Canis lupus familiaris: one gene and its partner. The protein of the gene in region 1 purifies or fractionates together with the protein of each later gene. This does not show direct contact. Links are inferred from orthologs where the notes say so. Each region holds a gene or a part of one and is shown on either strand. Other genes may lie near its edges. The genes, in order: CNOT7 and TNKS1BP1.

The links.
Region 2: the proteins of CNOT7 (region 1) and TNKS1BP1 purify together in Homo sapiens (affinity purification with mass spectrometry; 4 studies listed by BioGRID and IntAct, counting the BioPlex papers as one, with this or other methods). This does not show direct contact. The link is inferred for Canis lupus familiaris from reciprocal best matches to the Homo sapiens genes CNOT7 and TNKS1BP1.

What each region holds. Positions count from the first base shown.
Region 1 is NC_049237.1:41,442,706-41,455,010, forward strand, and holds part of CNOT7 (CCR4-NOT transcription complex subunit 7), read right to left. Parts: exon of another isoform or gene 12,227-12,305; intron 12,218-12,226; exon of another isoform or gene 12,194-12,217; intron 11,084-12,193; 5' UTR 10,987-11,083; coding exon 10,870-10,986; intron 9,027-10,869; coding exon 8,833-9,026; intron 3,974-8,832; coding exon 3,812-3,973; intron 1,002-3,811; coding exon 857-1,001; intron 1-856. UniProt on the Homo sapiens protein: Has 3'-5' poly(A) exoribonuclease activity for synthetic poly(A) RNA substrate. Its function seems to be partially redundant with that of CNOT8.
Region 2 is NC_049239.1:39,296,047-39,308,351, forward strand, and holds the end of TNKS1BP1 (182 kDa tankyrase-1-binding protein), read left to right. Parts: coding exon 1-1,240; intron 1,241-1,561; exon of another isoform or gene 1,562-2,145; intron 2,146-2,871; exon of another isoform or gene 2,872-3,289; intron 3,290-6,789; coding exon 6,790-7,156; intron 7,157-7,390; coding exon 7,391-7,541; intron 7,542-7,636; coding exon 7,637-7,773; intron 7,774-8,530; coding exon 8,531-8,688; intron 8,689-8,782; coding exon 8,783-8,843; 3' UTR 8,844-8,855; intron 8,856-9,371; 3' UTR 9,372-9,815; downstream 9,816-12,305.

The DNA of each region.
Region 1 (12,305 bases):
TAAAAAAACATGATCAACCTTGACGAAGGTTCTATGAAGCAACCACTTTACCTAAATGTGCTTTTTAGTTGTAGCTTCTATACAAACACATCTGAAAAAAAAATAAAGCCCTTCTATTCCTTGGGAGTCTGCCACCATGGGTGGATTAGTTTTCAAACTGAAGGAGCACTCTACTTATTAAAGAAACGTTCCTTTTGAAAGAATTTTCAGAAATAATAAACTATTACATATGCATTTAGCAGTATCAGAATGTAAGCTACTGTCCCAGACAGGACTACACATTACCATAGCACTAACTGCTTGACATCTTTTAGAACAGGAAAAAAAAACAAAACACAAAAAAAACCTTTCCATGTATAATCCTAGGAACGTGATCCTATGACTAGAACGAACAAAATTTTTATCCAAGCTGAAGAGGAAACTGTTTGCTACCTGACTACCATCTGTACATTGCTGGCCACCTCAGATTTTATCTTGCATGGATAGACAGTGCATATGTTGGGCAGTGTAAACTTGCACTTCTGTGCATGAGAGCCTCACTAGTCCTCACATTTTTGTTCAGGTTTATGATTTTCAATCCAGCAGTCATGAGAAACCTGATTCTTGGTTTGAATTTTGCTGAGATTAAAAAAAAAAAAAAAAAAAAATGAATTTTGCTGAGAATTTATATTGCCAATGTATGCTGAAGTTCTGAAAAAGACTTCCTACAAATTATTTATGCAACAAAATAACCAGATAACGTAACTACATTTAATATAAAATTTAAAATATGGCTTAAAACAACATCCCAGGCTAGGATCTTACTTATCACTCAGTCTAAATAGTGTGGATTACCAACTGCCACTTGAAGCCTTACTTTGAGATTTTTGCAGCTCTTCATGAGGTACTTCACATCATAAATGACAGGAAAAAATAATCGAAGGATCTCAAAGAAGTCAAGTTCTTCTTCAGGCAAGTTAGAGTTGGTCAGGATTTTGATTAAATAGCCAAAGTCATAACCACTACAAAAGAATTAAATATAGAATAGAGACACATAAATACCAGAGGTGAAAAAATATTTTTTTTCTGATACAAATTATAAGTAAGTCATAACTGTAGGTCAAAAAAGGAATCAACCAAAAAAAGAAAAAAAAAAAAGCACATGAGAGAAAAGACACGTTTATGATAATGGGAAAATGCCATCACCTTACCAAGAGTGATAAGAACTTGTCACTATCATTCAGATATCAATATACTAGCATCCCAAACCTGCAGTCACAGATTACTATTTTGCTGAACTCTGAAGGAAGAACTCTTTAAGAGGAATATCAAACCACTCTATAGATATCTCAAAAAATTTTAAATAACTATGGAAATGGAAAAATAAATATGAATGGAAACTTGGCTGAAAATGTCAAAAGGTAGCAGAATTGGCAAAAATAATACAATTCTTCCCATACTTTACATAAAGAGGTCATGTGCTTAAAAATCTAGAGTGGGGCACCTGGGTGGCTCAATCAGTTAAGGGTGTTAACTCTTGATCGCTGCTTAAGTCTCCCATCTCAGGGTTGTGAGTTCAAGCCCCACATTAAAATACTTAAAAATTAAAAACAAAAACAAAAAGAACCCAAAGAGTAATTCCCTAATGGAAGTATTTTCTTTTCCTTACATGATCTTATCAGTCATTCTCTTCCCTCAAAATTCTGTTCCTATCTCCTATGGCTCCTCAAGATATACCAATGAAAATGCTGCACATGGAAGAAATAAGAGTAGTAAACAATGAGAACTAAAATCCAGAGAATAAAATACCAACTCCCACACTTTCAGATCAAGATCTCCTCTCTCTAGTGTTTTTTTCCCCATAGCTTTATATGTCCCTCCATTCCTGTGCCATAATTAACTTTTTTTCTCTGTCTACCTTTATTTACTTCAAGGGCCTCTTACAAGGCACCTTCCTCAAAGAGCCTAACTCCCAGTAATTTCTTATACAAGGTGTTTTCTCCTACTATGCTTTAAAATGCAGGTATTGTTTTCTACACTAGTCTAAGTAGGAATCACACTTTAAAAAATATCTCAAAATCTTTTATTACACATAGCTGGAACTCAGTACATATTTGATGAGAGACGATATTAATCGGTCTTTTGAGGGGATACAAATAAAATTTCTATTTAATATTCAGAATTACTTCTAATATTAAAAAGAAAAAAGAAGCTTTACTACTGAAGACTGGTAAAGCACACTACGGTATACGCGATAAATGGCAGAACCTTTAAATTTCTGGTAATTGGCAAGGAAGTAATTACTATCTAACTATATATAAATTAATACTTTTGCTTACTACTAGTAAAAGACTATGAGAATTTCCGGTTTATGAATTTCTTAAACTAGTCTTTATCTCCTAGAAATAGGTTAGAATATGAAGAAAATATTTAAAATGGCATTTAGAATAAAACATACCTTGACAAATAGTGGAGTCTAATTTTTAGACTCTACATTCTAAAAAGACATGAGCCCTTTGTTCCTCTTAATATCTCCAATGCCTAACACACAGTATTTGCTCAGAGTATTTTTTTTGAATGAAGTAAGTCCTATACAACAAAAGGACAAGGATGATGCTCTCTAATTATGACCAGGAAGTAAAACAAAACAAAACAAAACAAAAAACTGAAAAAACATTCCTCAAATTAACAGAGACTTCAGTCTTGTCTCCTGAAGTAAAGCTCAAATGCAGAACAAAGAGAAAAGATGACAGGTGAGAATTACTATGTTCGGTACCAACTTAAAAATTACTGCTTAGTATTACACCAGAGTTTGCAATATGAACAGTCCTTCACTATAATCATTCCAGAGGCTAGAGCTGAAAATGCAGGAGACTCCTTTTTTTTTTTTAAATGTGTGGAATGGACCCAATGTAAGAACATTAAGAGAAGGCCAAATAAATTAATTACCGTAAGAGAAGGCCAAATAAATTAATTACCGAGGCCACTTTTAGTCCCTGGGCTTCCAGTTTAATTTAGTTTACCTAAATAGGAAAACTCTGTCTTATTTGGAAGTCTCTTCTTAAAAAATGGAACTAATTCCCCTTCTGGAAATTCTCTTCAACAATCCAGTCTTATTTTATAATAAGAATTAAAAATGACTATTTGTTGAGAATTAACTGTGTGTAAAGTCTTTTACTAAAATGCTCTAAATATATCATTGGTCATTAAAACAAGATATTTACCTAAGTAATGCCAGCTGATCACTCTATTTAAAAAAAAAAAATAATAAAATCCACAACCTCTACCCTCCCCTAACACTCTCTTTCTGGTTTTTTACTGCATTGCACTTACTAACCAATAAACCACAATATAAATGTCATCATTTAAAAAAAAAAATTGCCTACTCTGACCAGAATATAAACTTCATGAAGATGAGGATTTTTGTCTGTTTGGCTCACAGCTTAATTCCTAGAATCTTATACTGCAGTACTTGGCATTGGTAGATATTAAATAAATATTTTCTTAATGAATGAATGGTTTAATTCTAAGGCTCAGAAATGTTAAATGACTCTTGGTAACATTGATTCCAAATGGCATTGCTGGATTTAAACCAAGATCTACTTTATCAGCTTAACTTTTTCCACTATGTAATACAGTCTCTCTCATAGGCTAAAAATGAATCTCATACCTTTAAATTAACCCTTAAGCAGACCAACATTAGCTTCTTAAGAGAGGAGACTGTTTTGCGGCAGCCAGTTCCCTCTCGAACAGTGACCCACACCAAGTATAAAGCAGCTAGGAAACAGAAACACAAATGCTATTTTCAATGCAATTTTTTTTTCTTTTTTACCTATGAAAGGATAACCATTTGACCCCTTCGCAAAGGACCACTCCTGATGTCATAAGAAGTTCTGCAAAGTACTGGGTCTCAATTCCTTCCTCCTCATGTTTTTTAAACTGGATGCCAGATGTTGTTAGTAGCTCTATAGAGTCCTGAGCATACATGTCCTCCCTGGCAGGAGAAAAAGAAAGACAACCTTCAAAAGCGCCATACTTCAAACTGTTTTTCTCCCACTTACATCTACAACTACAGTGCCAGAAACAACGAAACAGAGGATTGGCTTGGGTCCAATTATTCCAGTGCTTCACATATATGAAGGAAAATACAATTTAAATATAAAGGTTATTATTTTTGAAAACTGTTCAGTAATTCATCTTTTAAAAACAGTCCAAGGGTAAGATTTTAAGCTTTACTATCGATTCAATTTCATTTGCCTTTCACAAGTTAGATATATTTAACTGAGTTTGAAAAAAGGGTCTTCTACTCACCAGGGGCTACCACCACAAAATAAAAGACATGTTTTTTCCAGGGGCTTTCAGTCTCAGCAGTCTTTTTATAGCTGCCAGATGGAGCTGTAGCCACTGGGGTGACAGCCTATATACATCTCCCATCTCCCAGCAGCTCCAGGAAGAAGCTGGAGAAAACATCTGATGTGGCTAAGTGAAACTACATTCCATCCTAAAGAAAAAGGGAGATTCCTCCTCTCACTAATGATGAGCCTTTCAAATGGCTCCAATAACCAGTAACATGCTTAAAATGAAAGCCTTTGCTATAACAGCAATAATTTCTTCTAACAATCTTAATCCTAGAAAATCACCTTCCAAAAGTCAAACCAGGAAATCTAAATATAAACCAGTCCTTCAAGATTTTACTTAAGGCAAAAAAGCAAGCCCTAATTTCTAAGCACACACAGGAATCCAAAATGTTAAATTAAAAAAGGATCAAAACAAAGGTATAGGTTTCTGAGAATACATGAGAAGTATTTTGTGCACTGCCCATTGTATTTTCATTTACTTTTTAAATTGCAAGAATATTAATTTCCACCACTTGGCAATAGAAAACTCTATTAAAAGCCACAATATAACTAAACCAAAAGAAACATTTTAAGTAAAAAAGTATTCTTAAGGTCTATTCTCTGGACATCAGTCTGCTTCTAGATGTCTTTGAAAAATAACAAAACGTAATGCTCTATGACACCAGATGGTAAATACATTTATTGTGGTGAACACTACACAATGTATGGAACCTTATGCACCTGAAACTAATATAACATTGTATATAAACTGTACCTTAATGTAAAAATTAAAAAAAAAAACAAAACAACTAGCCTCTGAAACATTTGAGAAAATAGAGGGGAACTACAATCATCACTTTAGACCAAAACTCCCCACAGAAAAACCCTTTAGGAAAGATATCTGAATAAATCTAAGTTTTTTTCATTAAACAACAGATATTATTAGCCTTATTACACTAAAAATATGTATCTTAAACAGCAAGTTTCACTCACCAGGCTCTGATACCCACACTGGGAGGCATACTTTAGCAAATTATAACCAACCCAAAGCATAACAGATTCTTTCTCTAGGCTCACATTATTCTGGGCCATATGCTCACTTAATCTTTATTACAGTACACTCTCAATCAGAATGTAAGCTTTAAGAGGGCAATGATTTTTGTCTATTTTGTTTAATGTCTATCACCATGCCAAAAAACATGTGAGGTAGAACAGTAACAGGAATCATCCAGAGAGCTTATCAAAAATATGGAATCCCAGGTCCTATGCCTAGACCTACTGAATCACAATATCCAGAAGAAAGACCTGGATAAGTACTTCAGGCATTCGATGATCAACAAGTTTGGTTAAAAAAAGGGGAGGATAAATTACTTCTTTCTCTTTTTTCTGCATAGTTTACATAACTCAATGCAGCGTAAGCTAATATACTGTCATTTAAATTTCTTTGGAGGAAATATTTTAAAATTTGGAACCAATTCCATGCGTTATAATGCCCAACTCATTAGAAGAGAAAGCCGAAAGCTCTATACAGGTAGGCTAATAAATCTCTAAATAGGATGAAGAAAATTTCCTGCTGGTAAGGAAAACTCCAAAATTGTTACAATTCAATTCCGAATCAAGACTGTCCATTTCCCAATCCATTTCAAGTTTTCAAATCATTCCCCACCCTCAAAAATCTTAGTAAATGGAAAAAAAAATCTCAGTAAATGCAGGAATATATTAGAGGATGCAAATCTCAAAAAAGTAGTGAAAACACTGTTGTGTCCAAAATGTAAGGATTGCTGCAGGTGTAGGGATTGACTTACTGATTAGAACAATCTGTTCAGAACAGCAGTGACTGCTCTTAATACTAATCAACTACTGAAGTTTAAGGTGGCAAAATATTCAGGTATAATAACCCAACAGGAGTGAAAGCCATGTACAAATCTCTAAAAAAGGTTTTCCCAAAAAGCAGATATATACAAGGCTGCTCATTTCAAATAATATCCTAAAAACAGAAACCAACCTAACTTTACTACCATACTTTAATAGTATGTTAAATTACCAACCAAACTTTAATAGTATGTTAAATTCAAGAAATATGTTTTCACTTTTTTTTCAAGTAGGCTCCACATCCAACGTGGGGCTTAAACTCACAACCCCAAGATCGAGTCGCATGCTCTATCAACTGAGCCAACCAGGCGTCCCAACTTTTCGACCTACCTATAAGTATAAGCTCAGCCTACTATACAAATTCACATTTTTAAACACAAGTTAAACATTTTATAGTTTGTACATTTTACATTTACATTTTAAAACACACACGCTATATATTTGTTTTTGCTAAAAATCATGAGAAAAGGCAAACCAGAATACAGACTGTCACAAATGTATGAATGGTCAACTAGCTTAATATTTAATGAACTCAAACCAAGAATACATAAGGTGCTCAAAAAATCTGCAAAGGCTATATGAAAGACAACACAAATAGCCTGCAACTCCATACCTGACACTTAGGTGCCCTTTAGCCTTCAAATGCCTGTCCGTGACCCAAAAAACAAAATCAAAACCACCCACTGTTTGATTCTGTCCTTTCTACTTATGATTCTCCATTTCTTTCCTCTGCCATTTTGCTTAAATGATTATCAGCTTCCTTTCAGTTACCACTGAACCCACAATGTCCTATAACCTTTATTACACTATCAAAATGATTCCCTCAAACACTAAGAATTATTACAATCATCAAACTGATGTTTTAGAAATTTGTTCTCATCTCCTTTGATAGTTTTAATTTGCACAGCTCCTCAATAGTCTACTCCAATTTTCATTTTACATTATCAATTCCAAATTCAGTTTGGAGAGAACTCCTATACATTCATCGTTATCTAACAATTCTAATTTTTGGACTTTGGCAATAGAAAGCAGACAGAAAAGTTACAGGAACATTAAGTTATAAACCATGACCAACTTTTCTCAACATTTATCCCTGGTGCCTAACACAGTTGCTGACACATTCCGGGCACTCAAGAAAAAAGTCAATTTTCATCTTTCTTCAAAATACCTAGATTCTATTCATCGTACTGTCTCTACATTAGGTAGTCCCAGTTTTATCTTCCAATTAATCATTTCTACTTAAATAGTGCATTCTACTATATCCTTCTCCTTAAACAACTTCTTGGACATTAACATTAGTATAAATAGTAGCAAAGCTTGGTAACAAGTAGCCCTCTCTGTATAAGAAAAAATGTCTTTCAAAGATTATAATAATAAGGCAGTTGTTACTATAACAAAGATGTTTCTAGCAAAGGAAAATGTCAATTTTACCAGAATGGAGACATGGATGGGTCCCCTTTTACTCATGTATTTATATCACAACAGTATCTTAGTTTAAAAACATTGTTCTAATGATCAACTTGGGAAAAAAATAACATGGAACAAATGAAATGGTGAAGAACTAATTTTAAAAATGGTTCTCTTTTGAGAAAAGGATAAAAGACATTTTTCAGTATTTCAGTACTGTAGTACTTATAGAAGGTTATTACCAGTTTACATAGAGAGTACAGAATCTTTACAAGATTCTAGTATACATTATGAAATCCAACAAAGTAAAACAGAGAATGAGGCTAAATACAATGTAATTATAAGCCACAGTACTATAACACTATTCTCTAAAACCATCTGCCCTGGCTTTTTAGATCTTATATGCTAAATATCACATTATTGAGGTTCTTACATTGGCACTACTGCTAACTGTGCCACAGCTTCTTTTACTATTTTTTTAAACCAGATATAAGATATTACACAAGTACAAGCTGTCAAATAAAAGGACACTGCAATATTGTAACTTAGAATATATTAAGTATTTCCCCACCTTAGAGTCAGTTTGTAAACAATCTGCCCTCACTTAAAAACACTCTAAACTTCCCTAAACTATCAACCATGAGCTTAACTTAGAATTCAGATTCTGAACTGTATCTGAAAGAAATAAAGTTCAAGGATACCATTACCTCTCCTATATATGTAAGTTACAAGAGGTTTTGTGGGCTGATTGGAAACGTAACTATTATGTAACATTGACTTGAAAGGAAAATCCACCCAAGTTTCCAAGAAATGCCTTACTGCCTCTGACATGTAATCTACTCATAAACTGGAGTCAGATATATTAATCTCTTCACAAGGATAATTACTACAACAAAGATATATATATTTCAAACTGCAAACAAAGTTTGAAAGTAAAACTAACGTAAGGTTATTTTTTCTATCAAGAAGTGATTTCAATACCCAAAGTTTTTCAGGTTTCAAAAAAAGTGGCAGTCATACTTTTCAAACAACATCTTCAAAATTCAAAGTATTTGAATATAAAGTCTTCTTTATCCTAGTTCTTTCATCCCGTAAGAAGAAATCTAAACTTCTGAAATTAGGTTTTAAGTATCTCTAGGATAACTGTGCCAAATTCAGTTAGCATTTTTCACCGTGAGGGAAATCAATTCTTAAAATTAAGCTAAAAAAGTTTGGGTTATATTTATTTCCCACTTACGTCAAATTAAATTTAAAATTAAACTGCCAAGTTGAAGTTCCTGGAGGATATTCTCCTTGCTCATTCATAAATGTCAGTCCTAGCTGAATTATCTTTAACAAGTCTACATTACATCGCAATAGTTGGTACTGATAGTCAGCATTGCTCCTGAATTCTCCAATAGGTCTTGCAACCACACCTGGAAACTCGGTGTCCTGTAAAATAGTTTTAAGATTCATTATTTACTAAATGATTAAAACCACAATTCACAAATTCTTAGAATAAATATGTAATTTTCAGTTCAAGTCAAATAATCCTATTATAGATAATGCTCTACACATTCATGTTCAAATACAAATTACCTTTTAACTATGAAGAACTTCACTTTTTAGAAGCATAAAACTGTAATAAACTTAATGACTTTCTTATCTTAAACTTAATGACTTTAAGTATCAGTAATAAATGATAAGTGCACCAAATATTCTCTTCCCAAGGGAGGGGAAAATATAAATTCATGTTCCTCAAGGGGTATGTGAAACTATGCTCACAGTATGCTAGTGTTAAAACCAAGGAACTGGTTAAAAAGAATGGAAAATGCATCATGCTTTGCAATCATTTCTCTGAGACAAAGTCTGTCTAAACATCAAAACCCTCTTCATTTCTTGGGGTAAAATAGTTCTCTCTCTATAATCTATACATCATCAAAAATTGCATGATACCCACTTATTCCTGTAAAACAGTATCACATCTCTAATGTCACTCCTTATCATCTAAGAAATGATCACTATAAATTTTTGTAGGAAAAAATACTTCAATTCTAATTACGGGTTAAGTATACCTTTACTAAATAGGGTATCTAGGTACACTCAAATATTCACATATTCACCATTCAACCTGCCTCTCCCCACAGAAGCACATTTATGTATTTGCATTAAAAATATTGAGGAAATGATACTATGATATATCACTTTAATTTTAAAACAAACTGGGAAGCTAAGAACAAAATCTGAATATCAAGTCACTATGAAACGGTAAAGAAATTAAAACTCTAAATTCAGTCCAACTCAACAACCAACCACATCACTGGATGTTTGTGTTATGGTAGGTGTGCTGTGGGAGAGAAAAGGTAGACTAGGACACTAACCCCTTGCCTTGCAGAGCTTACATCTAGAAAACAGTACGGTAATTACCACAAATGTACAAGGTACAGTAGGTAAAGCAGCAAAATAATTAACTGAATAGACGGTAGAGGTAGATTGAATACTATATGCAAAAGCAGAGATGCTTAACAGCAGTGTGTTCATCAACTCCAATGATTAAAACAACACAAAAATTGCAGACCAACAAAGTTTTACTGGGAGATCTGAGTTTCTGAAAAGACATGCAGAAGCTCCCTAGCTTTTGGGCGCTCATCTGGTATTATCAGTTACACCTTAAGTGTTGCTGGGAGCTGACCTGGCACTCACAGCTAAGTTCTAACATTCATCTGTTGTTGAGTATAAACAGTTTCATACTTCATCACCAGACAAGACCACTCTGTCATCATGACTGAACATAGACAAAAACATAAACATTATTCTAACCACAAAAATGATCAAACATCCTTCTAGCTTGGCTGATGTAAGTGAATGCTGCTTCTTTATAGCTTTATTCTCACTCTATTCTTCTCTCATTCTAGTTAAGACTTATTAAGATACCCTGTCACAGAATTACCCCAGCTTCCCAACAGCATCCAATTCTGCACAAGGCCCTGCTTCCTTAATCCCTCCCTAAAACCACCTGACAGAAGCCCAAATCCTAAAAGTCTTTTCTAACACTCTTACTGAAATATCCCATGATTACAGTGGCATGCATTTTCCCTCACTGTAATGAGTAATAAACCCAATTTGTCACATTGCAGGAGCGTTCTTGATGGTCTCTGGTTGGAGGACATTGATAAAATTTTTTTATAATTAGATTAATCCCTAAAATATTAACTAGATGGGTTGAATTCAGGGCTTTTAAAATCCCTCTTCCTCTTTTATAAGAAGCATCTTAAGGATGTGAGCATAGGCATACCATAGCAACGTAATTATATTTTCTGATAACTTGGCGAATTTTCTTCATCTCTTCATCCAGGTTGCAAGCCCAAACTTCACAAATTCTTTGGCTATGATCTACAGTTGCTGCTGGCATAGTGAGGGCACAGAAGTCTAGATGCCAAGCATCAAAATGTTATACTTGATTGAAGATTTGTTTGTTTCATAAAATACTTTATCCTTTATTTTTGTACCTGTCAAAATAAAAACCAAATTTATAATAATAAATAATAAAACCAGTAATATCAGAAATCTGAATCACAGGATAATTGGGTTGATACAAACCTAAAAAATTATTTATTCAAAGTCACTAATTTGTAAGATAATCAGTTTGGGAAATGACTTGTCTAAAAGTCACACAGTTAATCAGTAGGAAAAAATGACCTACAACATAGGTTTTCTGGTTCTAATATCAATATTAAGTAACAGTCTTTTTTTATGTGTACATACTAATCACTTTGAAAAACTTTCCATTAATTAAAGATTGCTCTGAATGAAACTCTTTCTCTGAACAAAACTTTATAAAGACATCCATTTCCACATAGAAAATGAAAAAAATAGTGATATAAACAGGATCGGATGTTACTAGGACAAAAGGAGTGTTTGCTTTTACTCATTAACAGAACACTCAAAATCTAACTTGATGACAAAATCTACTTTAGTGGCATTTATTCAAGTCTGATTAGAAGGGACCTTTTTTAGTAAACCACTACCACCAACAGAAGGGGAGGGGGGGCAAAAAAAAAAAGCTCTTTCTGAAAAATAAGTAACAGCCACAGAAATTGTTTCATTGTCCAAAACTGGAGGAAGAGAGAAAACAATAGGGTGTATGCATTTCAAACTGTTTTCTCATTTCCTAAAAGCTTGAGCATCTCCCCCCCCCCCCTCCCCAAGTTACCAAATACACATCTCTCGTTTCTGGTCCATAAGCAGAGTATTATGCTACCTAATGATAAGAGTACAGCCCCATCTTGGACAGAAAAATTCCAAAGGCTCCTTCATTTTTCACAGAAGTTTGGGGGAAGAAATTCCTAAAAAGGGTAAAAAAGGGGAATTATGATCCTCCCCCCCAAAAACACTTCAGTCACAGATGTCACCTCAAGTCCTCTAAGAACAGAAGTCCGAGATCTAGAGGGACCTCACCTTTATTACCCTCCCCACTCCGCGAACCCACACCCACACCCACACCCACACTCCGAAGACCCTGTAGCTTAACACGGCCATTCCCCCTCTCTCTCTACGATTCCAGAAGCCCCGACCAGGCACCAGAGGCCTTCTCATCACGGGAGATCGAATCTCCGTACTGCGGGCTCCCGAAGAAACGAGAGGACAAGCACCGAGGCACTCAAGTCATGGATAACTCTCTTCCCTGGCAGGGGGCCGGGGTGAAGGTGCTTGATAACCACTGATGGAGCC
Region 2 (12,305 bases), on another chromosome or scaffold:
AGCCCGAAGAGAGAGAGTCGGGGGGCCTGTTCAGCCCCAGCACCCCCCCGTCCCAGGACGGGCCACTGGCACAGAGAGACCAGAGCAGCTGGCATGGTGGCGGGGCTGGCCAGGAGGCTGGCGGGCAGCAGGGGAGGCAGCAGGCGGGGGGCCAGAGCCCCGGCGATGCTGGCCCGGAAGACAGGGAGGTGGGCCACCGAGGCTGGGGGGGTGACTTCGGCCTTGGCGTCATCTCCCAGCCCGAGGCCACCTTCAGCCCGGGCCAGCGAGATTGGAGCGGTGACTTCTGCACGGAGGCTTCCGAGAGAGGCCACCAGTTTGGCATCATCGGTGACGACCGGGCAAGTGGTGCTGCCCTGAGCCCTCCTGGCCAGATGGCCGGTAGCCGCTTTGTGCTTCCGGAGAAGACCTCAGCTGGGCCCGTGGACTGGAGCGACCAGCTGGGCCTCAGGAACTTGGAGGTGTCCAGCTGTGAGGGTTCTGGGGTCTCGAGTGAGGCCAGGGAGGAAGCTGTGGGACACCTGGGCTGGTCAGACAAGCTGGGCCTGAGAGATGTGGACCTGGCCGGCCGTTTGGAGGCTGGAGGGTCTGAGGAGCCCAGGGGGTTTGGAGTCGGGGAGAAGGAGGACTGGACCTCTGATGTTGGGGTGAGGGGCAGAGATCTGGCTGGTGTCGGAGAGGTAGGGGGCCCCAGCCAGGCCAGAGAGAGTGGCGTGGGGCAGACTGACTGGTCTGGTGTGGAAGCCGGAGAGTTCCTTAAATCAAGGGAGCGTGGGGTGGGGCAGGCCGACTGGACGCCAGATCTCGGGCTGAGAAGCATGGGCCCGGGGGCAGGCTGCAGCCCCAGACAGCTTGGGGCCGGCCAGGTGGACTGGGGCAGCAGTCTGGGCCTGAGGAATTTGGAGGTGCCATGTGACCCAGAGTCTGGAGGTTCTCAGGACCCACGGGGATGTGGAGTGGGCCAGATGGACTGGACCCAAGACTTGGGACTCCGGGATGTGGAGCTCTCAGGGGCCCCGAGTGAAGTCAGGGAGCGTGGGGTGGGAGAGGTCAGCCAGTGCCCAGACCTAGGGCTCAGGGACAGCAGCGCCTTGTCCCCGGGCCTGGAGGCCAGAGAGCAGGGGCCTGGCGAGACAAGCGGGCCAGAGACCCAGGGTGAAGACCCCCCTGCACCTTCCCCAGAGACCTGCCCTGAGGACCCCAGGATGGAGGCTGGAGAATCCCCTGGCTTTGGAAACAGGTAAGGGAGCCCCATCCTCGTGTGGGAGGGAAGGGCTGGCAGCTTTCTAAAACATTGAGCCTTTTTCAGGAAGGAAGAAACTGCTTTCCCCGGGGAAAGGGGAGAGGAGGGTTTGGAAAATTGAGAAGGTTTGGACTGTGAATCACTGATTTTACTTTTTTAAAAAATTACTAATTTATTTTAAAGATTTTATTTATTCATGAAAGATACAGAGAGAGGCAGAGGCATAGACAGAGGGAGCCGCATGGGGGACTCGATCCCAGGACCCTGGGATCATGACCTGAGCCAAAGGCAGACACTCACCCAGTGAGCCACCCAGGCATCCCTACATTTTTTTAAATTGAAATGTGACACACATGCAGGTGATTTTTTTTTTTTTTTTGGTGACGATTGCGGTGTTTGAGGGACTGTTCGTCTGTTGCCCGTGCTTTCGGCTTCTGGGTGACGTATCGCGACTGTCCTGGAAGAATGGGTGTGGGGCCCATCTCTGAGTTCCGTTGTTGTGCACAGCACCTGTTCCCAGGTCTTGGCCCAAGGGTCTTCCCGGGCTAGGGAACGTGGATGCTTTCACGGCATTGGCAGGAGGACTGGACCCTGTGTCCAGTTGGCCTGGGCCGCTGCAGGTTAGGAGTGGAGCGGACAGAGGCGCTCATTCCTTGCAGAGACGGGGAACCTAGTGCTTCCTGCCTGCCCTGTCGTGAGGCCTGGAAGAGCAAACAGTTTAAGATCCTGAAGGTCATGGAGACCTGGCTTCTGACCCCGTGATCTTGGCCTCCGTGCACATGGTGACGGAGAGGGAACTTTCCAGAGGAATAGACCAGTAGTTTTACGAGCCAACCACAGCTTGTCCCAGGGATTTTTATGTTCTGAAAGTAGCTGACGTGATTTCACACCTGCAAGGGGTACTAAAAAGACATTGCGTCTGTTTTGTTAACATGTTCTGTTCATTGAGATGGGGTTTTCTTCTCTTGACTGCATAGAAGGTTATTTTTCTTTCTTTCCTTTTTTTTTTTTTTTTTTTTTAAAGATTTTATTTATTTATTCATGAGAGAGAGAGAGGCAGAAGGAGAGGCAGGCTCCCCACAGGGAGCCCGATGTGGGACTCTGGGGTTCCGACCTGAGACCTGAGCCAAAGGCAGATGCTCAACCACTGAGCCCCCCAGGCGCCCCCAAAGGTTACCTTTCTGAAGAAGCTGGAGCTTCTCAACGGCCAGTCCCAGTCGGGGAAGAAGGGAAGGGAGGGAGGTGTTGGATGGGGGCCGTGTTGTGAGTGGAAGGGGCTGCTGGTAGTGGCAGGGGGGTTGGGGGGAGGGGAAACCTGGAATGGTCTAGAGGGAACGGTGGGGGTGGGTGGGGGTGTTGACTGATGGGATGGGGAGGCACCAGGATTCAGGAGAAGGAGGGAAAGAGAGAGGAAGGTGGGGAAGCACTGGGGTAGGGGCTGCAGGGCAGGGGTGGTTTCACAGGATGGGGAGTTGGGGGCTCCTGGGATCTTGGATGCTGTCTCTGAGCCTCACCTTCTCACGTCCCCCCCAGGAGGCTTTACGGTTCCTAGTGCCCCGGGGTTGCTCTTGGTTTCTGTCACCCACACGGCCATTCTGCCGGGCCCAGCGCTCTGCTACCCATCTTACCTCAACCTTCACAGCTGCCCCCTTCTGTGGAAAGGGATCTGTACCATGTCCAGTTTGCACGTAGACGAGGGGTGTGACCTGCTTACAGTCGCACAGTCAGCAGTGCTGCTCTCTGGCTTCGGTGTCCGCATCATAAATGCTGTCAGGTGTGGTCACAGTGCTCGGGAGTCTCAGGCTGCCCATGAGCTGGGCCCATGGCCCTCCACCCTTCCCCTCTGCCTGGGTGGCTCTTGAGAAGGGGAAAGAGGGGAGTATCTTTCCCTTGGTTCAGGAGAGGGGTGGGGGCTACTGGGGGGCCGCAGGGCCTGGATTGGGAAGAGGAAAGTAGGAGCGGAGAAGCAGGTGTCCTCAGCGCCCAGCCGGCTGAGCTTCGGGCTCTAACCTGCCTTTAAGCCGCTCTGGTGTTCTGTCTGTGTTGTCCATTTGGGAGACGTGGAGTGTTTGTGCACGAGCACGTGCTAGCCCGTGAAAGCACAGGCATGAGGAAACCTGTTCACTGCTCTGTAGCACAGGGTTTCGCAGACTTGACTCCTATCCAGGAAGTTCTGGGCATCTGACTTAGGGAAATCCTATACCCTGGAAAATTGCTCTTTGAAGGAAGTTTTGGAGGTTCCCCTGGGACGTCCTTGAGGCCAGTTCAGAGTAGTCTGGGTTTGGGTCCATCTGCCAGGTTTGAGTCCTGATTCAGCCACCACCTCTGTGACCTTGGGCAAGTTCCCTTCTCTCTGTCTCTCAGAGCCTCCTATTTCTTATGTGTACACTGGGAGTAATTTACACCCCACACTCACAGGATTGAGTCTCAGACACACATCAAGTGATAGAAAACTGCTTGGCATGTGGTAATCACTGAAAAAAATTCTTGCTAGTCATAATTGTATCCGTTTTGCAAATTTGGTTGGATCTGAGCTGTCTTGAGTGAGGCCCTTGGGGATGTTTTTGTCATTCACTCTGTGTGGGACAAAGGTACCCTTGATGGATTGCTGTCCAGCACAGTTTGACAGGACCAGAATGGGATGGCTGGGTCATAGGGGCAGCTCCTAGGTCACAGGGACAGGCCCCTCCTCTGTGTCTAGGGCCACCTTTTCCTGGTGGGAGTAGCTCTCTCGGGTCCCCCGAGAGCTCATGCACTGCCCCCTCTTCTCTGTGACCTCCTGGTCATCTCCTGCCCTTCCCCTGGGCCCCAGTGATATGGGGACCTCAGTCATTTTGGGCTGTTCATAGAATCTCCTCAGAGATCATTGAGGGCAGCTCCCTCATTTCAGTGGGTGGGGAAACTGAGGCCCAGGGAGGCAGTGTGACTTGCACAAGGTCCACGGCTGGTCATTACGGGCTCCCTCATGTTCCCTCAGGCCCCAGCCTTGTCATCCTCTCTCTGGGTGTGTTTCCTGTCTCTGGGGTCCAGGCCATCTGCTGCCCCTTTAGGCACATCATTCCAGCTGCAGGCCTGAGCCTCCTTTATTTTGGGTCTTGGAGCCTTGAATATGGGGAAGCTGGCTTTGTGCACATTGACTACATGCCCTTCCCTAGGCTCTGCCCCACAGTGGCGGTGGGGGGGTGGGGTGCAGTTGGACAGAGTCTCTTGAGGGTCAGGAGATGAGAGTCCTGACCCTCAGGAGACTCTAAGTCCAGATGACTCAGGGATGAGGGGTATAGCTGGTATAAGATGTGACAGGTCCTCAGGCCAGGAACCTGTGTTGAGGATGCTGATTATCCTGAAAGAATTAAAATTTAAAAAAATTATTTATTTAGAGACAGGGAGGGAGCAGGCATGAGCGGGGGGAGGGCAGAGGGTGCAGGGAGAGAGAGAATCCTCAAGCGGACTCCCTGCTGAGCTGGAACCTGAGGAGCCATCATGACCTGAGCCAAAATCAAGGGTTGGTCAGTCAACTGGCTGAGCCACCCAGGTGCCCCGATTATCCTAAAAATGTATCAAAACTTAGCACACAGTGGTGTGTGCTGGGCACACATTTCCTATGTGTTGCCAACAGACCCAGCAAAGTATAGGTCTTTTATTATCCCCGATTTGCAGATGAAGAAACTGAGGCTCAGAGTGGGTAAGTAGGCAGGTGGTGTACGGGCGGAGCCTGTAGCTGTGCCCACGGCAGCCCTCGGCACAGGCCTTGACCATTCTTCTCCTGCTTCCCTGCCAGGGCGGGGTCAGGTTGCAGGTGTTCTGGTGCACAGAGGCAGGAAGGCTTCTCTGGAGCTGGAGTTTAGACAGGCCGGCAAGGAGGATGCACACCATGTTCCCCAGTGCACTTCCCACCCTCCCTTCCTCGTGGCCCCCCCAAAGCCCACTCGTTCTTCCTCTGCCCTCTGCCCACGCGGCTGGGGTCCACGTGTTGGATGTGGATGTGGATCTTTCCATCCACCCATTGCTGTTCCACATCCCCTTGACTCTGCTGGCCTGCCCTCAGCCTGGTCTCTGCCCCACCCCAGGGAGAGGCGTTAGGCGGGGCCTCCTCAGGCTGGGTGGGGTGCCGCCACCGCCCCCTCCCTCCTGGCCTCCGTGATTTTAAGCTGCAGGGTGAGCTGGCTCTGGCCCCCATCCAGGGCTGCGCCATTCCCGGCCTTGCTGCACTTCTGCTGCCACCTCCGCCACCCCCCCACCCCCTGACCGTTTTTATTTCCATCTGTCAGCAGCTTGTGGAAGGACAGACTGACACACGTTCTCTCCTGCCCTCCCCGCTTCCGGCCTGGTCCTGACTCACCTGCCCTATACTCCTCCCCTTCCAGTCCCTTTGGGAACTCTCTGAGGCCTGGCTTCCGGGCACTGCCCCTGCCTGCCTTTCCCACGCCTGCCTGCCCGGCTGCTGCCTGTGTGTGTGTGTGTGTGTGTGTGTGTGTGTGTGTGTGTGTGTTGGGGTGTGGCTCTGCTGTGCTTCTGGGGGTGGGTCCTACATGTGCCTCGAGGGAAGTGTGTTGTGAGTGTGCGTAGGGTGTGTCCATATTTCAGGGGGTGGCAGCTGGCCCACACACCAGCTCCTTGTGTGAGGTATGTGAGTAAGCGTGTGTGCTGAGCCGGGTGTGTCTGTCGTGTTTTGAGGGAGCGGCGGGCCGAAGATGCACAGGCCGTATTGAGGTGCAAGGTGATCTAGCCTGTCAGTGGATGGCGAACATTTGCTAAATCCTCCTCCTGGCTGGGCCGAGCCCAGGTACCAGGGTCACAAAGGCCAAAGGGGCCGCCTTTGCCCTTGAGTGGTTCCCAGATGGGCTCTGAGGCAGGGGCTGGTGCAGGTGGGGGCCCCAGGCTCGCAGGGCTCAGGAAGGGGGGCTGTGGCTGGGGGTGGAGAGGGGCCAGCCTCAGAAGAGGAATGGACCCGTGACCGGGAGAGGAGCGCAGGGCAGTGGGGGAGCCTTCCAGGCCAGGGAACAGCTTGTGCACATACACCGCAGTCTGCAAAGACGGTGATGTGTTTGGGGGAGTCCCTGGACGTTCTGTGAGGCTGGGGTGCAGGGAGGGATGCTGCAGGGGCCAGTGCCTGGCTCGTCCCAGGGAGAGTGACCACCCAAGCAGCTGCCCCTATGAGGAGCACATGGACAGCAGTAATGATTGTGGTCAGTGCTGGGGACACGCTGGGTGCCAGGCACTGTGCTTTGTGCTGTGGTTCCCATTTCAGTCCCCAGCAACTCTTGGGAGTTAGAGGGTCCTGAGGCCTTGATGGGTGGAGGGACCTGTCCACAGCCTCAGTAAGTGGCGGACCTGGGATTTGAACCAGGCTGCCCACCTTGCCCGCTCTGTGCTGTACTGTTTGAGGCCCCGACCGTGTCCTTTCGGAAGGAAGGTGTCTGGGAAAGCATGGAGAGGCAGGAGAGGGAGAGCCTGTTGGAGGGGGGCACAATACTGGGAAGTGGGCTTTGGGGGAGGAAGATGGGGCCTCATGGGTGACCTTGTCCTCTGGTCTGTCTCCTTTGCAGTCCTGCCGGCTGCCCGGCCCGCTCCCCGCCCTCTGGCTCCCAGAGCCTGCTGGAGGACATGCTGGCCACCAGCAACTCCAGGGCGGCAGCCCGCAAGGGGTCAGCAGCCTCGGGCCCCAGGGGCCTGTTGGAGGAGGACGGAGCCACAGTGGGTGCCGACACAGGGGAGCCCCTCGAGCCTAGCGGGGCCCCTCTGCTTTCCTGGAGGCCGCAGCCTGATGGTGAGGCCAGCCAGACGGAAGAGGTGGACGGCACCTGGAGCCCTTCAGGGGTCGGGCAGGGCGCCCAGGGCCCCACACGGCCCCCTCGGCGGCCCCCTCAGGGCCCTCCGCCCCGCTCTCCCAGTCAGGACTTCTCCTTCATTGAGGTCAGTGCAGGGTGAGCCCAGGGCAGTGGTTGGGCTGTCGGGGGGCACATGGGCGATGTGGCCCGAGGCTGGTCCCTAGGGCTTCCCTGAGTGGCGTCAGCCCCCGGGGAGGGGGGGCAGGAGGCGGGCAGTGGGTGACCCTCTGAACGGGGCGCTGTAGGCTGCTGGAGGGATGCGCTGTTGAGGGTTCCCGTGGGACCGCAATGGCAGTGGTGTTGCTGTTGTCCCGACCAGGACACCGAGATCCTCGACAGCGCCATGTACCGGAGCCGAGCCAACCTGGGGCGCAAGCGTGGGCACCGGGCCCCGGCCATTCGGCCCGGGGGCACCCTGGGCCTCTCGGAGGCAGCCGACTCGGACGCACGCCTGTTCCAGGACTCTACGGGTAGGCCCCTGTCTGGTGGGGTGACGTCTGGGTCTGCGTGGGGGCGGTGCTCCGGGCTCGCCGTCGCGCTGAACCCCCGCTCTGGGCCCTTGCAGAGCCACGGGCTTCTCGGGTGCCATCCTCAGACGAGGAGGTGGTGGAGGAGCCTCAGAACCGCCGGACACGGATGTCCCTGGGCACCAAGGGGCTGAAAGTCAACCTGTTTCCTGGCCTGAGCCCGTCAGCCCTGAAGGTAGTGTCTTAATCGGCCAGCGCATCCAGCCCCTCCGGCCCCTAGCCCCCGAGTGCCTGCCTGGGGTTTCTTCTGTCCGTCCATCCATCCGTCCTTCCCTCCCTCCCATTCTCCTGTCTTCTGCTCCCCCTGAGGGCCCTGTTGGGTCCCGAGTGGGATGGGAGGAAGAACAAGGCATTCCTTCCCGTCCCAGAGTCCCAGAACCTCACAAGGCGAGGAGGACACACGCCCTGTCTCCTGTTAGCTCTGGTGAAGGGCCGAGCTGCAGGTGTGGGGTTGGGGATGTACAGATAAGGGCTGGGCCTCTTCTGGGGGTGGGGGCGGAGGGTCGGGGTGAGGTGTGACTTCTTCTGACCCACCGACCTGCCTGCTGGATGGGAGGGTGTATGGGGAAGGGCTCGTGGAAGTGCCGGATCTTAGCTTGAGGCGTGTGTAGAGCTGGCTGTGGAGGGCAGGGTGATGGGGAGGAGTTCGAGGTTCCCGAGGCAGAGGGAACCCGATGAACGGAGGCACAGGGCTCGGGAGGCACTGCCGGCTTCGCTTCATCCAGCCCAATTGTCTGGATTCAGTGGAGCAGAACCTTCACGAGGACCTTCCGTGCAGGGTGTGGCTCAGGCGACTTCCCGTCCCTCTGGGTTGAAGGACTGCAAAGGGGTCTGTGCCTAATTCTGGGGACGGCTCCTAAGAGAAGGCCTTGCCCTCTGAATCACCCTGCTCCTTCCTCTGACATCTGTCTGCACTTGGGCTCATCTCACAGGCCAAGCTGCGCCCCCGGAACCGCTCAGCTGAGGAGGGGGAGTCTGCGGAGAACAAGCCAAGCCAGAAGGAGTCCGCGGTGCAGCGTTCCAAGTCTTGCAAGGTCCCCGGGCTGGGGAAGCCCCTTGCGTTACCTCCCAAGCCAGAGAAATCCTCAGGGTAGGTGACCTCAACTGGCCTCGCTGGGTGGGCCAGAATTAACCGTGTTTATGTCCTAAGGTTTGCCTAATGACCTTTGCCCTGTGCCATCTAGGTCAGAAGGATCATCACCCAACTGGCTACAAGCCCTGAAGCTGAAGAAGAAGAAGGTCTGAGAAGTCCTCGAGGTAAGTGTGGGTTCCTGGGCTTGGCAAGACCTGCACGGGAGGGTTCAGGAGGCCCCCTGCCTTCTTCTAGGCCTTTCTGTCCCTCTTCTCTGTGAGCCTGGCAGCAGCCCAGGGGAGCCTAGCTCTAGGACCTGGTGGGTCCCTTGGTTCCCCTTAGATTTTGCCCACAGAATCCAGTGTTGTCCGGCCTGGGATGATGGGGAGGAGGGCTGCATCCTGGCTTCCTCTCTGGGCTCAAGGATGGTCCCCACGGGCCCCCAACCCCGTGCCCCAACCCTTCCTCCCTGGGCTCAAGGATGGTCCCCACGGGCCCCCAACCCCGTGGCTGGCCCAAGTGGGGTCAGCCTGCCCTTCTGGTATTTATTAGGCTCAAGGGCCCCAGGTGGGACCCTCCTCACCACGAGGCTCAGCTGGGGGAGCCAGGATGGGCAAGGGACAGGAAGCCAGAGCTGAAGTGGCTCCTCTGCCCGCCATGGTGTACCCCCTGACCCCTTCTTCCCCCTCCTCCCCTTGCAGGTCCTTCCATCTGGCAGTCTCAGGCAATGCCCATTCCTGTGGGGTCCCCGGCGAGGAGACGGCTGGAGCCCCACCAGGCCCCAGGCTGCAGCCTCTGTCCCCTCCACGTCTGAGGAGCGTCTGGGGAGGCACATTTATGCACTTTGTATCCCCCTGCCCTTCCTGACTCTCCCTCACTCCCTCCTGACCAGATTCAGGCATTAGTGGTTGAAGGTTTGGTCCCTCCTCCCTCGCTCTCGACACCCCCCTCTCTGCTTCCTCCTCCAGCCTCCCCCGGGTTTTCTTTTGATATCAATTTATAGCATTTTTTATAAAAGCCTTTGATTTTTGTAACGGGCGGAGCCCTGCCCCCGCCCAGGCCTCCCTCCGTCCTGCCAGGTGCCCCACAGAGACCAATAACATTTTGCCACTTGAAACAATAAAGTTTTTTGGGAATTGGTGCTGCCCAGGCTGTGGTGTGTGGTTGTGGCACCCCGACCCCCATGCCAGACCAGAGTTGGAAAGTGCTGGGCCTGGCCCCTGCCCACGGGAGCTCACCGTGCCACTGCCTGCTCCCTTTCCCGGTGCTCGGGGGCTCAGTGTCCCTGAGGAGGGGGTGTACTGCTGATGGGAAGCTGACTGCTGAGTCACACAACCCCCACATCTCAGGAGCTTGACACACAGGGTTATTTGCTGCTCACGGCAGTCTGGGGGGTGGGTTGGTGGTAGGGACGCTCTGCACCTCATAGTCACTTGGGAGCCAGTTCTTCCCTGCGGTGGCTTGGCTCTCTGCAGGGGCTCCGGAGTCCCCCAAGACACCCAGGGGAGAGTGGACGGAAGGTCTTTGGGGAGACCTTTCCCCAGGACCACAGGATGGGAGATTTCCATTGGCCAGAACTGAACTCAGGGCCCTTGCTAGCAGAGGGGGGGCATGGGTGGGTGGGTGGGGAGTGCCTGTGGTGGGAAATGTGGTTTAGTTGTGTGGCCACGGAAGACTGGGTGCAGGTGAAGAGTCAGCCTTCCTGCCGGTGTCTGACTTCTGTTGCTCCCTAAGGGCCCCTTTAGCCCATACATTCTGGAAGGTGCACGGGGCCCTGACCTCCTACTTGGCCTTCTTCTGTGTCATCCTGTGTTCCCCAGACTCACCAACCGCTTTCTATGAGGCTGGTTGAAGGGAGAGGCCCCTGCGGGCCTCGCCTTGATGGGGACTGAACTGAGCCGCTGAGGTCAGATACACCTGAGTTTGGAAATCATTGCATTCGCCAGAGCATCTTAGCTTTTTATTTTATTTTAGGGGAATCTAGAGGCTGTTGACCTAATTTGAGAATTTGACCAAAGCTGTGGATGCTCTAGAAAAATGCACGTATACATACCATACCCACAGCAGCCTGGAATTCCCAATGCGGACCTCCTAGAGCAGTGGTTCTTCACCTTCACCATGAGCACAGCCCCTGCGGTGCTATTTAAAAATGCACATTCCTGGGCCCCCACTAGGCTTCCAATCCAGTAGCTCTGCCCAGGAATCTGCATTTCGAGAAGCTCCCCTGAAGTAGAGGGGAAAGACAGGTGAAGGGGCCTCGGGCTGGTGCCTGGGTCTGTGCCAGGCAGCCCCCATGCCAACCCTCCCAGGGCCCAGCAGAGCCGAGCCGGCGTGAGCTTTGTCCTCTTCTCTCCCATTCTCTTTTCCTTGTAGGAGTAGGACTGGCAGGAGCCCAAGCCAAACACTTAAGACTCATTAGTGGGACAAATGGAGTCTGGGCTGTCCCAGTGCCCGGGCTCTGCTGGGAGGGAGAAGAGATGGGCCGGCTCCCAGGGAAGCAGAGCCAGATCTGGTGTGGGTGGGGGGTGTCCTCTGCTCACCCTCTGCCTGGAGAGTGGCTCAGGGCCTTTGCTGGGAGCCCAGGAGAGAGGGCAACCCACTCAGGCTTTGACCACAAAGGCAGGTGTGTGACAAATGCCACAACTGAGATGGTAACGTTCTTGTGCTGCCATTTCTCAGACCGAGCCTGGGGTTCTTGAGAGTCGCCTCAGACAGCTGGGTGGTGGTGGTCTTTTGCCTGGTTTTGGATTTTGGAGACCACTGAAAGTCACTTGGAGGCTTGCGTTGTGGGGATACTCTGGGCAATCCAGGAAGCTGATCGATTTTAGTCAAAGGTGGCTCTGAAGGCATTTTCTGAAGAGGTGAATGAGCTCTGGAAGAGTCGAGCGTACAGCCTCTCAGGCTAAAGGCAACAGCTCAATGTGTGTATGCAGGAATCCCCCCCTTTCCAGTCCTTTCCCTGCGTGTTAGGCAGCGGAGCTGTCCCTTCCCGAGAACCTTGTCCTGATTTCATCAAAGTTAGAAATGTCTCAACACTGCCTCTCCCCTCTCCCTTGCTTCTGAGGCCCTCACCAAGAGCCCGGCCGCATACAGATCGGATTCCTGATGACGGGGGAAGCCTTTGGGAACTGGACAGGAGTGGAGCCCAGGGGGTTGTCTCGCGTGGCCTCCCCTCCAGGAGCTGGAGTTGGTGTTCGGGGTCGGGCTGAGCCTGAGAACCAGCTGGCCTTCGCCGATGGTGCCCTTGGGATCTGACTGGTGATGCTGGGTGTTGGGCAGAGTCTTCTGAAGGGTTGCTGCCCACTTAGCTCTTCCTCCTTCCAGTGTCCTGTCCCCAAATGTGGTCCAGCCACGGGCCGTGGTCATTGCTGTCCCGAGGGGGTTTGAGACAGAACCCTGGATGTCCCCTTGGATGGAGCAGTAATTCCTCGTCCGACGGCCCAGAGAGACTGAAGCTGGTGGACGGGATGTCCTTAGGGCCGATTTGCCTCTAGAGTTTCACTGAGCCAGAAGCGGAGGCTCACCTGGGACAAGCCCTTTGGCCTCTGCTGCCGCTGCCCTGGCTCCCTTTTCCTCCCCGCAAGTGCTGATTGATCCAGGCAGGAAAAGCGCTGGCCGGTTTCAGAGGCACACCC